3 linked regions of the Callithrix jacchus genome follow. The protein of the gene in region 2 purifies or fractionates together with the protein of the main gene of each other region. This does not show direct contact. Links are inferred from orthologs where the notes say so. Each region holds a gene or a part of one and is shown on either strand. Other genes may lie near its edges.

What was found. The genes of interacting proteins can lie anywhere in the genome.
Region 1: the proteins of DDX3X (region 2) and FUS purify together in Homo sapiens (affinity purification with mass spectrometry; 3 studies listed by BioGRID and IntAct, with this or other methods). This does not show direct contact. The link is inferred for Callithrix jacchus from reciprocal best matches to the Homo sapiens genes DDX3X and FUS.
Region 3: the proteins of DDX3X (region 2) and EIF3D fractionate together in Homo sapiens (co-fractionation; 3 studies listed by BioGRID and IntAct, with this or other methods). This does not show direct contact. The link is inferred for Callithrix jacchus from reciprocal best matches to the Homo sapiens genes DDX3X and EIF3D.

The regions. Positions count from the first base shown.
Region 1 is NC_133513.1:30,693,852-30,697,895, forward strand, and holds the start of FUS (RNA-binding protein FUS), read left to right. Parts: upstream 1-1,233; 5' UTR 1,234-1,305; coding exon 1,306-1,318; intron 1,319-3,440; coding exon 3,441-3,465; intron 3,466-3,556; coding exon 3,557-3,711; intron 3,712-4,044. UniProt on the Homo sapiens protein: DNA/RNA-binding protein that plays a role in various cellular processes such as transcription regulation, RNA splicing, RNA transport, DNA repair and damage response. Binds to ssRNA containing the consensus sequence 5'-AGGUAA-3'.
Region 2 is NC_133524.1:42,180,038-42,183,637, forward strand, and holds part of DDX3X (ATP-dependent RNA helicase DDX3X), read left to right. Parts: intron 1-500; coding exon 501-633; intron 634-1,520; coding exon 1,521-1,679; intron 1,680-1,762; coding exon 1,763-1,862; intron 1,863-2,238; coding exon 2,239-2,374; intron 2,375-3,029; coding exon 3,030-3,115; intron 3,116-3,243; coding exon 3,244-3,342; intron 3,343-3,465; coding exon 3,466-3,600. UniProt on the Homo sapiens protein: Multifunctional ATP-dependent RNA helicase. The ATPase activity can be stimulated by various ribo-and deoxynucleic acids indicative for a relaxed substrate specificity.
Region 3 is NC_133502.1:207,478,255-207,482,514, forward strand, and holds the start of EIF3D (eukaryotic translation initiation factor 3 subunit D), read right to left. Parts: upstream 2,812-4,260; 5' UTR 2,717-2,811; intron 790-2,716; 5' UTR 780-789; coding exon 657-779; intron 374-656; coding exon 328-373; intron 1-327. UniProt on the Homo sapiens protein: mRNA cap-binding component of the eukaryotic translation initiation factor 3 (eIF-3) complex, a complex required for several steps in the initiation of protein synthesis of a specialized repertoire of mRNAs.

The sequences.
Region 1 (4,044 bases), on a different chromosome or scaffold from region 2:
ACCACTGTACTCCAGCCTGGCGCCTGGCAACAGAGCAAGACTCGTCTCAGAAAAAAAAAAAAGGAATTAACGTCCTTTGTCTTGTTTTGTTCAAGTTTCAAATTGCCTTCTCCAGGCAATGCTGATGAAAGTTCAAGTTGCACGTTACTTTGAAGTTTTCTTTTTGCTTTTGCTTTCACAGGAAGTGAAAGGGCGACCAAACACTAGCATTCAGGTCACCAAAAAGAGGAGTGTTTTGCAGTCACGAGACCTGAATTCGAATCACGACTCCTCTTAGCTGCCCTGTAATCAGGTACAATTACTTGGGTCTTTGAATCTCACTTTTCTTATCCAGAAAACGGAGATATCGTTACTTCCTTCCTAAGTCTGTGGTGAGAAATAAATTATCTGTGCATTTTGAAACCACCTAAGCCTTGTGCACATTTTATTTCTGGGATCGCCACTGGTTCCTTGGTAGGGTTTCAGAAAAATATAAAGGAGGTCCCTGAGAAAAGGCTGCGGATCCTTCATCTGAGGTCAACCCTCTCAGGTCCCAAAGATGGCCTGGGCGGTCCCGCCCGGCGGCTCCCGCGAGCCCAGTGCTGGACCAGCCCGGCACCCAGGGGTCCAGGCCAAAATGACCTGCTGTCTTTCAGGTCAAACGTCACAATGCGCCAACCCCAGAAAGGCCGAAAGGCCAGGCAACCCCGAAAGACGACTAAGTCAACACCAGGGCCCAAGGGAGAGGGAGGCTCAGTGTGTGCTGCTGGAGGAGGGAGGCTGGGGTCGGGAGGACGAGGCGCCCCACACAGTGGCAAGGCGGCGGAGGGCAGGAACTCGTCATCCTGGGTGAAAGCGGGGCCCAGCAAAGGGGACCGGCCACAGTAGTCACGATTCCACCCCGCGACTCCCGACTGTGACTCCAGTTCGATCCCTAACTGTCCGGGCCCCTCGCCCCGCCCCCAGCGGGCACTCAGGCCGTACCACTGTGCCTTCATGGGGGTGGACTTAGAGCATGGGCTAATCCTGTAGAGGAGAGAGAGGTTCTTTCTCCAGAAAGTATGATTATGTATAGTATTCACATGTTTTTAGTTAACTTATTTCCCTTCTACCTGCTCGGATCCTCTACGTACCCTAGGAAGTGGGGGGAGTGCATTCCTGCCTCCCCCATGCGCTTCCGCATTTGGTGTGCGCCTGCGCGGTGCGTAGGCGGCAGGGCAGACTTAAGCTTCGACGCAGGAGGCGGGGCTGCTCAGTCCTCGAGGCGTCGGTGTTGTGTAGAGTTGGAATTTCCTTGCTTGCTTGCCTGTGCGCGCGTGCGCGGACATGGCATCAAACGGTAGGTAAGGGCGCGAGGCGGCGGCGGCGGCGCTCCGAGCCGAGTCCTCCTAGTTGGGCTTTTCATTTTCTGTGGGACCGGGGCGGCGATCGCGTGTGGGATTCTCTCGCATCCCTGTGGCGGGAAGCCGCGGAGAGGGGTGACTGGGGGAGGTTGGTGTCGCCATTTTGTTTCGCTCCTCTGGCGCCTAGCGCGCTGGGCGGGAAGTCTTCTCTTCCCAGTCCGTTTGTTTGAGGTGGGCGTGGGGAGGGACGCTTCTTGGTGGTTTGAAGCGTGAGGTGAGGGTGGAAACGCCTGGTCTCCGTGGCCTCGCCTACCCCCACTCCCGGCCCGCGCTCGGGCCCGCTTTGTCGCAGTGCTGCATCCGGGCACTAGCGGCGCGCACGCGCTCTGCGGGCCCCTCCCCCCCTCGTGGCGCTGATACCCCTTCCCCGTCTCGTGTTGGCTCAGCTTTTTGTCGCGAGACCCTTCGCGGAGGACTCGGCGGCGCGCGTCCGGTGTACGCCTTGTTCCTCTGGGGTCCTTCGGGAAGGGGCGGGACTGCTCCGTTCCCGCCTCGGTTGCCACGCGGCGGGGGCGGAGGCTCGGGATCGCGGCCGCGCTCCCGCTTAACGGTTTGGAGGTGGTGGTCGGGACCAACGTATTGTATCGGTGACCCGGCTGGAGAGTTTTTCCCGCCTAATTTTTTTTTTTAGACAGGGTCTCTCTCTTGCCCAGGCTGGAGTGCAGTGGTACGATCTCGGTTCACACTGCAACCTCCTCCTGGGTTCAAGTGATTCTTCTGCCTCAGCTTCCTGAGTAGCTGGCAGGCGTCTGGCTAATTTTTGAATTTTGTGTGTGTGTGTGTGTGTGGAGACGGGGTTTCACCATGTTGATCAGGCTGATTTCGAACGCCTGACCTCAGGTGATCCGCCCTCCTCGACCTCCCAAAGTGCTGAGATTACAGCCGTGAGCCACCGCGTCCGGCCTAAATTTCTTGCTTCTGAGGTGGGGAAGGAGAATAATCTCCATCGGAGGCCACTCCCTCTCCTGGGCCTTTCCCTTTTCCTGCGGGGGAAGCGCCGCGTTTCCCGTACTAGGTGGATGAGTTGATCTTGTTCGTGTATCTTCAGTGGGGCGTTTCAGAACCGCTTTTGCTGCTTTTTGGTCCCCCGGAGCGGGAAGGCAGGTTAGGTGAGAAAACGAACCATCTGGAGCGACAGGACTGGGGAATCGAGTATCAGTCGACTTTCGCCTCCTAAAGCGAGCACTTGGATGATCTTTTTGATTCCGAGGGCTTTGGATCCTGTGACTTCACTAAAAAGCCCACTTAATCTCCGGGGTTGGTCACAATGAAGAATGGCCTTTTTTGAGACATTCTCGTTCTGTGGGTCTGGGTTGAGAGAACGGAGGCCACAGTCTGAACACTGCTTGAATTCAAACCTGTGCCGGTTGGTAGTTCTGCGACTTCGGGCAAGTTAGTCTATTTTGACTCCTGGGGATAAGGCCTTTTTTATAGAATGGATGGAAGTACTGTGCAGTGTTTTAGGGCAACAGTCACTGACATGAATTGGGCTTGCAGAAAGTGGCTGTCCACCGAGACCTTGGTTTTCCCAATGGTTAAGGCTTTTGGGACTCTGTAGAAACTTGCATTTTCTTCTGTTTTCTTTTATTATGAGAACACTTGGCTGATATGCCAGCTTGCTCTTGTCTCATGGGGGAATTGTATGACCTTTTTTGCAACATGGTCCAATTTTTTTCTTTTGAGAGAGTCTCGCCCTGTTGCCCAGGCTGGAGTGCAATGGCGTGATCTCAGCTCCCTGCAACCTCTGCCTCCCAGGTTCATATGCGTCTCCTGCTTCAGCTTCCTCAGTCTGGGATTACAGACGTCCGCCACCATGCTTGGCTAATTTTTTGTATTTTTACGGATTTCACCATGTTGGTTAGGCTGGTCTTGAACTCCTCACCTCAAGTGATCTACCCACCTCGGCCTCCTAAAGTGCTGGAATTACAGGTGTGAACAACCTTGCCTGGCCAACGTGGTCCTGTTTACCCATCAGTGCTTGAGTTAAGGAATTTAGCTTTAATTCAACTCTTTCAGAGTGTTGGCTGAAGATAATGTGATTGTATTTTTCTTTTGCAGATTATACTCAACAAGCAACCCAAAGGTGAGTGCTATTTTTGCGTTTCCAAAGTTTGTAGAGGCCGACGGTGGTCAAGGCCTCTTTTTCTGATCACGCTGGTTTTACTTTTTTCCAGCTATGGGGCCTACCCCACCCAGCCGGGACAGGGCTATTCCCAGCAGAGCAGTCAGCCCTATGGACAGCAGAGTTACAGCGGTTACGGCCAGTCCACAGATACTTCAGGCTATGGCCAGGGCAGCTATGGTTCTTCTTACGGCCAGACCCAGAACAGTGAGTCTCTCTCAGCGAGTCATCTTTTCCTCTACTTTCTGAATGTTGTTTTTTTTCCTTTTTGAGACGAAGTCTCGCTGTGTCACCCAGGCTGGAGTGCAGCGGCGTGGTTTCTGCTCACTGCAACTTCTGCCTTCCTGGTTGAGGTGATTCTCGTTGAGCCCACCCTCCTGAGTAGCTGGGATTACAGGCGTGTGCTACCATACCTGGCTAATTTTTTTTTTTTTTTTGGTATCTTTAGTAAAGATAGGGTTTTGCCATGCTGGCCAGGCTGGTCTCTAACACTTGACGTCATGATCCACCTGCCTCAGCCTCCCAAAGTGATGGGATTAC
Region 2 (3,600 bases):
TTTGAGACGGAGTTTCACTCTTTGCCCAGGCTGGAGTGCAGTGGTGCAATCTCTGTGCACCATGACCTCTACCTCCCGGGTTCAAGCAATTCTCCTGACTCAGCTTCCCGAGTAGCTGGGATTATAGGCATGCACCACCACGCCTGCCTAATTTAGTATTTTTAGTAGAGATGGGGTTTCTCCTTGTTGGTCAGGCTGGTCTCAAACTCCCGACCTCAGGTGATCCACCCACCTCAGCCTCCCAAAGTGCTGGAATTAACAGGTGTGAGCCACTGCCTGGCCAGTGGACAGTAATTAAAAACATTATCTTGGTGACAAGAAAACCAGCTCTAAATCTTGGTTCTCTTACAGTGCCATGGTAGGAATACCTTGAGATTGAACCTCAAGCCCACAGAGATAAGATAGTCAGTGGAGGCCTTCAAATTCAGAAAGATTGATAATACCTTAACATGGTTCCTATTTCTCATTAATAAAATGGATTTGTGTTTTTTTAATTGAAGGTTTCTACGATAAAGACAGTTCAGGGTGGAGTTCTAGCAAAGATAAGGATGCATATAGCAGTTTTGGATCTCGCAGTGATTCAAGAGGGAAGTCTAGCTTCTTCAGTGATCGTGGAAGTGGATCAAGGGGAAGGTAAGTGATTTCTTCTCACCTTATAGGTGTGTAGAGTAACAGTTTAATAAGTTCTTATTCTGACCACCTATTTGGATGTGAGAGGCTTTTGCTACATTGAACCTGTTAAGTTGAATTAGATGAAAATTGGAATATGGTCATTGGCATAATGTGTAATCAATTTTTTTTTTTTTTTATTTCTCGAGTTTTATATGTTCTACTTAGTACATCTAGTGAATGGCCTAATTTGGTTGGGATTTTTGTGGACTCTATAACAATTTTAAACACCTTGGATTTTTTTATTATGCAAGTATGGTGAACTGACCCCACGTGCCTAATAGCTGTGGTTAGTCCTGTGTCCTGATTTTTCGCAAACAGGCCTAAAATTCTAAAAACATCTTAGTTCAAGTAAGGATTATTTTCTACCTTTTATCCAAAATCTGTCACACAGGTGAATTGTCCTTTAGTATAACTAGGATGATTGATATTTGGTGTATTATTTTCTTTTCCCCACCACTAAATATATTTGAATGAGCACTTTAAATGAAGGTTGTGAGCTGTGTGCCCATTTCAGATAAAACCTTGATCCTTTTTTTTTTTTTTTTTAACCTGTGAAGTGAAGGAATTAACCCAAAAACGTCGTTGATTCTTAATTGTGGCATCTATGAGACCTTTTAGGCTATACAACTTTATAGAGATATAAAGGTTACTAATTTTAGAAATGATTTTAGAAATATCAGTAAATGGTATTGGTTAGAGACCCTTATTTGTCAAATAACTCAGAATTGGCTTGTTGACATCTTTGTAGTTAGCCATAACTTAAGTCTCCAGATACAGTTCTAGAGCAGGGGTAGAAATCTGATAATGGTTAAATGATGTGATTCTGATTATTCACTTGTGCTGTTCAGATTTGATGATCGTGGACGGAGTGATTATGATGGCATTGGCAGCCGTGGTGACAGAAGTGGCTTTGGCAAATTTGAACGTGGTGGAAACAGTCGCTGGTGTGACAAATCAGATGAAGATGATTGGTCAAAACCACTCCCACCAAGTGAACGCTTGGAACAGTAAGTTTTTGAAATGTATGTTACTTGTGATGAAGCTTTATTAGCTAGTATAACAAATGAATTTACCAATCTTTTGATTTGAGGGAACTCTTTTCTGGAGGCAACACTGGGATTAATTTTGAGAAATACGATGACATTCCAGTTGAGGCAACAGGCAACAACTGTCCTCCCCATATTGAAAGTGTAAGTATTTTTGCTTGACTTTTTAAGACACGGGGAGATGTAAATGTTTTCATGGTACATTAGAATGTGAGATGGGCTTCATAAAGTCATATGTAGACCAAAGGCTTCATAGGTTTGTGGAAAAGGAGTGAGTTCAGTGTCACCGTTAGAAATAATTTATTACCTGAAATAGAAAATGGGTCAAACACAGGAAGAACCCACAGTCTTCTCCAGTGTAAAGCCTGGGGATTCATTTTTCTCAAAGTATAATATGATAATTTTACTTAAAGCAACTATAAACTGAGTTACAAATTAGCTGTTAGTTGGTTATTTCTATTATCATAAAACAAAAAATGGCTCTAGATAGCATTTCTAACCCCATTGAATTTCTTAACAGTTCAGTGATGTTGAGATGGGAGAAATTATCATGGGAAACATTGAGCTTACTCGTTACACTCGCCCAACTCCAGTGCAAAAGCATGCTATTCCTATTATCAAAGAGAAAAGAGACTTGATGGCTTGTGCCCAAACAGGTAAGCTCAGCCGATAAGAGTAAACATTATCATATTTGTTCTATAAAGGACTAGATAATAAAATATTTTGGTTTTTATGGGCCATGTGGTTTTGTAACTGCTCAAGCACTGCTATTGGAGTGTGAAAGAAGCCATAGATGATACGTAAATTATTGGATATGGCTGTATTCCTTAAGAGCTTTATTTACAAAAATAGTCTGTTTGCTGACTTGTCTTATAGATGGACCAAAGAAGCCACTTTTTGGAAAACTTAATTTGAGCATAAACTAAAAGTCCTAATTACTAGTAATAAGGCAGTTAAACACTGTCATGGGCAGGGCACAGTGGCTTATGCTAGTAATCCCAGCACTTCGGAGGCTGAGGCTGGTGAATCACAAGGTCAGGAGTTCAACACCAGCTTGGCCAACATGGTGAAACCCTGTCTTTACTGAAAATACAAAAATTACGCGGGCATGATGGTGAGAGGCTGAGGCAGGAAAATTGTTTGAACCTGGGAGGTGGAGGTTGTAGTGAGCTAATAAGATCGCACCACCGCACTCCATCCAGTCTGGGCGATAGAGCAAGACTCCATCTCAAAAAAGGGCCAGGGGACACTCATCTACCAATGTCTGTTCAAAAGTAATGAGCAGGGTTTGTTTTGTTTGTTTTTGAACAGGGTCTGGAAAAACTGCAGCATTTCTCTTGCCCATCTTGAGTCAGATTTATTCAGATGGTCCAGGCGAGGCTTTGAGGGCCATGAAGGTAGACATTTCTTTATAAAATGGGAAATTATTGTAGAACTTCAGTCTAATGAAAAACAGTTTTCAAGTGTAATCTGTAAATTACAAAAGTATAGGTGGAGTTAACCTAAAAATTAACTCATTTCTTAGGAAAATGGAAGGTATGGGCGCCGCAAACAATACCCAATCTCCTTGGTATTAGCACCAACGAGAGAGTTGGCAGTACAGATCTACGAGGAAGCCAGAAAAGTAAGTATGAGTTTCAGTGGTTACTAGCTTTTTCATTGATTCTAATTAAATGTTTTATGATCATGTAAAAATGATAGTGTAAAAATTTTGACTTTGAAGTTCATAACATTTTTTTGCTTACAGTTTTCATACCGATCTAGAGTTCGTCCTTGCGTGGTTTATGGTGGTGCTGATATTGGACAGCAGATTCGAGACTTGGAACGTGGATGCCACTTGTTAGTAGCCACTCCAGGACGTCTGGTGGATATGATGGAAAGA
Region 3 (4,260 bases), on a different chromosome or scaffold from region 2:
CAGAGAAAAAGCCTTTTTATGGTACCAGGACAGCGTCTGGCTCTGTCACCAGGCTGGAGTGCAGTGGCATGATCTCGGCTCACTGCAACCTCCGCCTCCTGGGTTCGAGTGATTCTCCTGCCTCAGCTTTCTGAGTAGCTGGGATTACAGGTGCATGCCACCACACCTGGCTAGGATGTTTACTTTTTTTTTTTGAAATCTGTTCAACAAAGCTACAAATTGTTAGCGGTTCCTTCCCATTCTAAAAAGCTTTCAGATGAAGGTCATTAGAAATGAGAAGAGCTTTCCCAAGGCCCGACTGGGGCAGTGGGTTGCAGAAACACTTACTTGTGTACCTCTTATCTTGGTACGTGGCTCCTGTCCAGTCAGCAACCTATGAAGAACAACAGGGAAAGACCGAGAACGCACAGGTCAACCAGGCAAGTTTCTGCAGACCCAGCAACCCCTGAAAGCGAGAAGACTGGAAGAGCCTCAGAATTTGCTTGCAACTCTTTTGTAAGAGCCCAGCTCTCCTATGACTACACCCAGAGATGATAACCGTTCTCAGCTGGCAACCCTGTACGAAATACAGGAGTTAAGCTTTCGAGACAATACCATCTAAACAGGGACTTGAGAGTAGCAGCTACAGCTGCAAAGATTCAGACTCCGGCAAGTACCTTTCCTAGCCGATCGCCTTTGCTGAATGGCTGGTAGGGCATATCCCGAAACTGCTCGGGAACCGCACAGGGACCCCAGCCTGAGGGGTTGTCCTGGATCACGGGTGTCATGAACTTTGCCATCTTCCAAAACCTTAAAAATAGAAATGATGTGAGTAGCTGCATGAACGAAGGCCTAGAGTCCAAAAAGCCCTCCATATGAAGTGAGCAAAGACATAAATGATAGAATTCAAAAAGCAACACGCAAAATGGAACCCTTGACTATTGAGCCACTACTACTGTTTTCTTGTAAATGATACTTAAAACTGAGAAGAATGCAAACAAAGCTGATTTACCGTATTTCACTAATTCCAGGGCACTCTTTTTACTGTAACATCTTTAAAATGAGGCTGCACCCGTGCTTGACAGGGTGTCGTACTAATTGGTAGTTTTTCTTTTTTTGTGTTATGTAATAAAAGCATTTAAAGAAATTCAGTTGTGTCACAGATTTGGTACAATGTACTAACTTTTTTTCAAATATAATAACCTTGTTTTGGTTCTCAGACACACTTTCACCAACTCATACAAACTCAACTTCTCTCAGCCTTACTACTCTTTTTCTTTTCTTTTTTGTAGTGGAGTCTTGCTCTGTTGCCCAGGCTGGAGTGCAGTGGCGTGATCTTGGCTCAGCGCAACCTCCAGACTCCTGGGTTCAAGCGATTCTCCTGCCTCAGCCTTCAGAGTAGCTGTGATTACAGGCATGTGTCACCATGCCCGGCTATTTTTTGTTTTTGGTAGAGACGGGGTTTCACCATGTTGTCTGTCCAGGCTGGTCTCAAACTCCTGACCTCAAATGATCCGCCTGCCTCGGCCTCCCAAAGTGCTGGAATCTCTAGCCTGGCCAACATGGTGACACCCGTCTCTACTAAAAATACAAAAATTAGTCAGGCATGGTGGCATGGACTTGTAATCCCAGCGACTCAGGAGGCTGAGGCAGGAGAATCACTTGAACCCAGCAGGCAGAGGTTGCAGTGAGCCAAGATCACGGCATTGCACTCCAGCCTGGGCAACAGAGCAAGACTCCATTTCAAAGTAAACAAATATTTTTTGGAGGTTGGAGAGACTGAGGCTTCCTTCAGAGAGGACATTTGGGTGACAGTAACACAGAATGAACCCAGAAGCTTCATCGTCCTAATAGGAACTATAGGAAGAGGACAGAAGAAAAGGATGGTGGTCTTGAGACACTTCATTTTAAATATTACAAACCCCTACGTGTCAGGCACTATGCCAGATACTTTAACAACATTAACACCCCCCACTCCCACTTTAGAGACAAAAATTTGAAGCTCAGCCTAGTCAAGCAGCTGACCTCACCATTTCAAAACAGATTTGATTTCCTGGGTTGCCTGTTACCAGTACAGCTTTCTTTTCATTATATTACAGCTGGGCAGCCCAGTATCCTGTCTTTTATAGCTTTTTTTTTTTTTGTTTTTTAAAGGAGAGCAGAACGGAACCAGTAGTAGAGCCACTCAGTTAAAACGACAGCTGTATTGGTCACAGGGGCAGGGTAGGGAGGCACCAAGAGGGCAGTCAGAAGGGGCTCGGTGGCTGGCAGGCCACTACACCTCGTACGCCGTCAATCGCTGAACCGAGGGTGGGGAGGTTTAAGATCAGAGAGCAAATCTACTCTTCCATCCTAGCCTCCCGTTTCATAAAAAAGGGAAGGTAACTTCCTCAGAACAGGGACCAAACACCGCTCAGCCCGGCACCCCTAGGACCCCACTGAAAAACTCGGGAGTCTATGGCCAAGAAATACCTTGTGACCCAAATGGGTCACAATCAAAACCCAGCCCATGGGCACTGAGCAGAGCCTAGGGCCAGGGACCTCATCCACTACTGTCCCGCGTCCAGTAGTGTGCGGAACCTGGGGCCCCCGAAGGTGGATTCCTGTCCCGCCCAGTGGAGGGACCACAGCCGCAGGAAGGGACTAAGAGAGGTCTCTTCCGGGAGGCCCCCGAAGGCTGGGCCTAGTCGGAGCCGCCTTCAGAGGTCCGCAGGAACCTATGAAACACGCCGCTCACCTGCAACGGCCTCGGCCGGCCGGGATGGCAACAGATGGTGCGGGCCGGGCACCGCGTTTGCAGCAGCTCCCCGAAAAACCCGGAAAAGAGAAAACATGCGCGCGCAGCAGGCGCTGCCGTAAACACAACCAACGCTGTCGTAAACTGCACCCCTCCCCCCTCCCCGCTTCCTCTGGGTTGGGCGGAAGAACTCACGAGCCGTAAAGCGAGGTTCGCCCGGAAATCCGTTAATGAGCTTTGCGAGGTGTACTCAATAGCTTACTAAGCGTCCGGACGCCAGAGGTGTGATTGCTATTACGTCAGGCGGTATCCCGGGTAGCTCAAAGAGGGTGGCGACCGCGCAATCGAAGCTAGAGGCGGGGAGCGGCTGGCGCCCCTCTGTGTCCTACAGTGCTTCGCGGCACGCCTCGGTCTCCACGTATCTCACAGTCACCCGCGACTCCCCACCTGCTGTATCCGCGTGCTTAGTGTGCTTCTCAGCTCAGGGGGCGGTCGGTCGGGGTTTTAGGCTCAGAGGTGCCAAGTGACCTGACTAGATCACACTGCTAGTTTAGAGTTCTAGCCGCCAGAGTTCAAACCATACTTCCACGGTTCTCAAACTTAATTGTTGGGCAGAGATTTCTGATACACTGTTTTTATTTATTTGTTTAAGACAGCTTTGTTCTCCAGACTGGAATGGAATGGGAGGATCACGGCTCATTGCACCCTCGACTTCCCAGGCACGAGCGATCCTCCCAGCTCAGCCTCCGGAGTAGCTGGGTCAACGCAGGCACGCACCACCACGCCTGCCTGATTTTTGTGTTTTTGGTAGAGATGGGGTTTTACCATGCTGCTCAGGTTTGTCTCAAACTCCTGAGCTCAAGCAGTGTATCCACCTGGGCCTCCCAAAGGGCTAGGATTACAGGCATGGACCATCGTACCCGGCCAGCTAATTATTTTTAAAAATTTTGGGCTGGGCGTGATGGGTCACGCCTGTAATCCCAGCACTTTGGGAGGCCGAGACGAGGATCACCTGAGGTCAGGATTTCGAGACCAGCCTGGCCAACATGGTGAAACTCTTAACTAGCCGGGTGTGGTGGCGCATGCCTCTAATCCCAGCTAATCGGAGGCTGAGACAGGAGAATCGCTTCAACCCGGGAAGCCGAGGTTGCAGTGAACCGAGATCGCCCCACTGCACTCCAGCTTGAGCAACAAAGAGCAACACTCCGTCTCCAAAAGAAAAAAAAAAATTGTTTTTTGTAGAGACAGGGTCTCACTCTGTTGCCTGGGCTGGTTTCTAACTCCTGGTCTCAAGTGATCCTCTTGTCTCAGTGTCCGGAGCAGCTGAGACTACAGGTGCATGCCACCATACCTGGCTAATATTTTTTCCCCCGGAGATTCTCTCTGTCATCCAGGCTGGAGTGCAGTGGCACGATCTCAGCTCACTGCAACATCCGCTTCCCAGGTGCTAGCAATTCTCCTGCCTCAACCTCCCGAGTAGCTGGGATTGCCGGTGCTTACCAACATGCCCGGCCAATTTTTGTATTTTTAGTACATAAAGGATT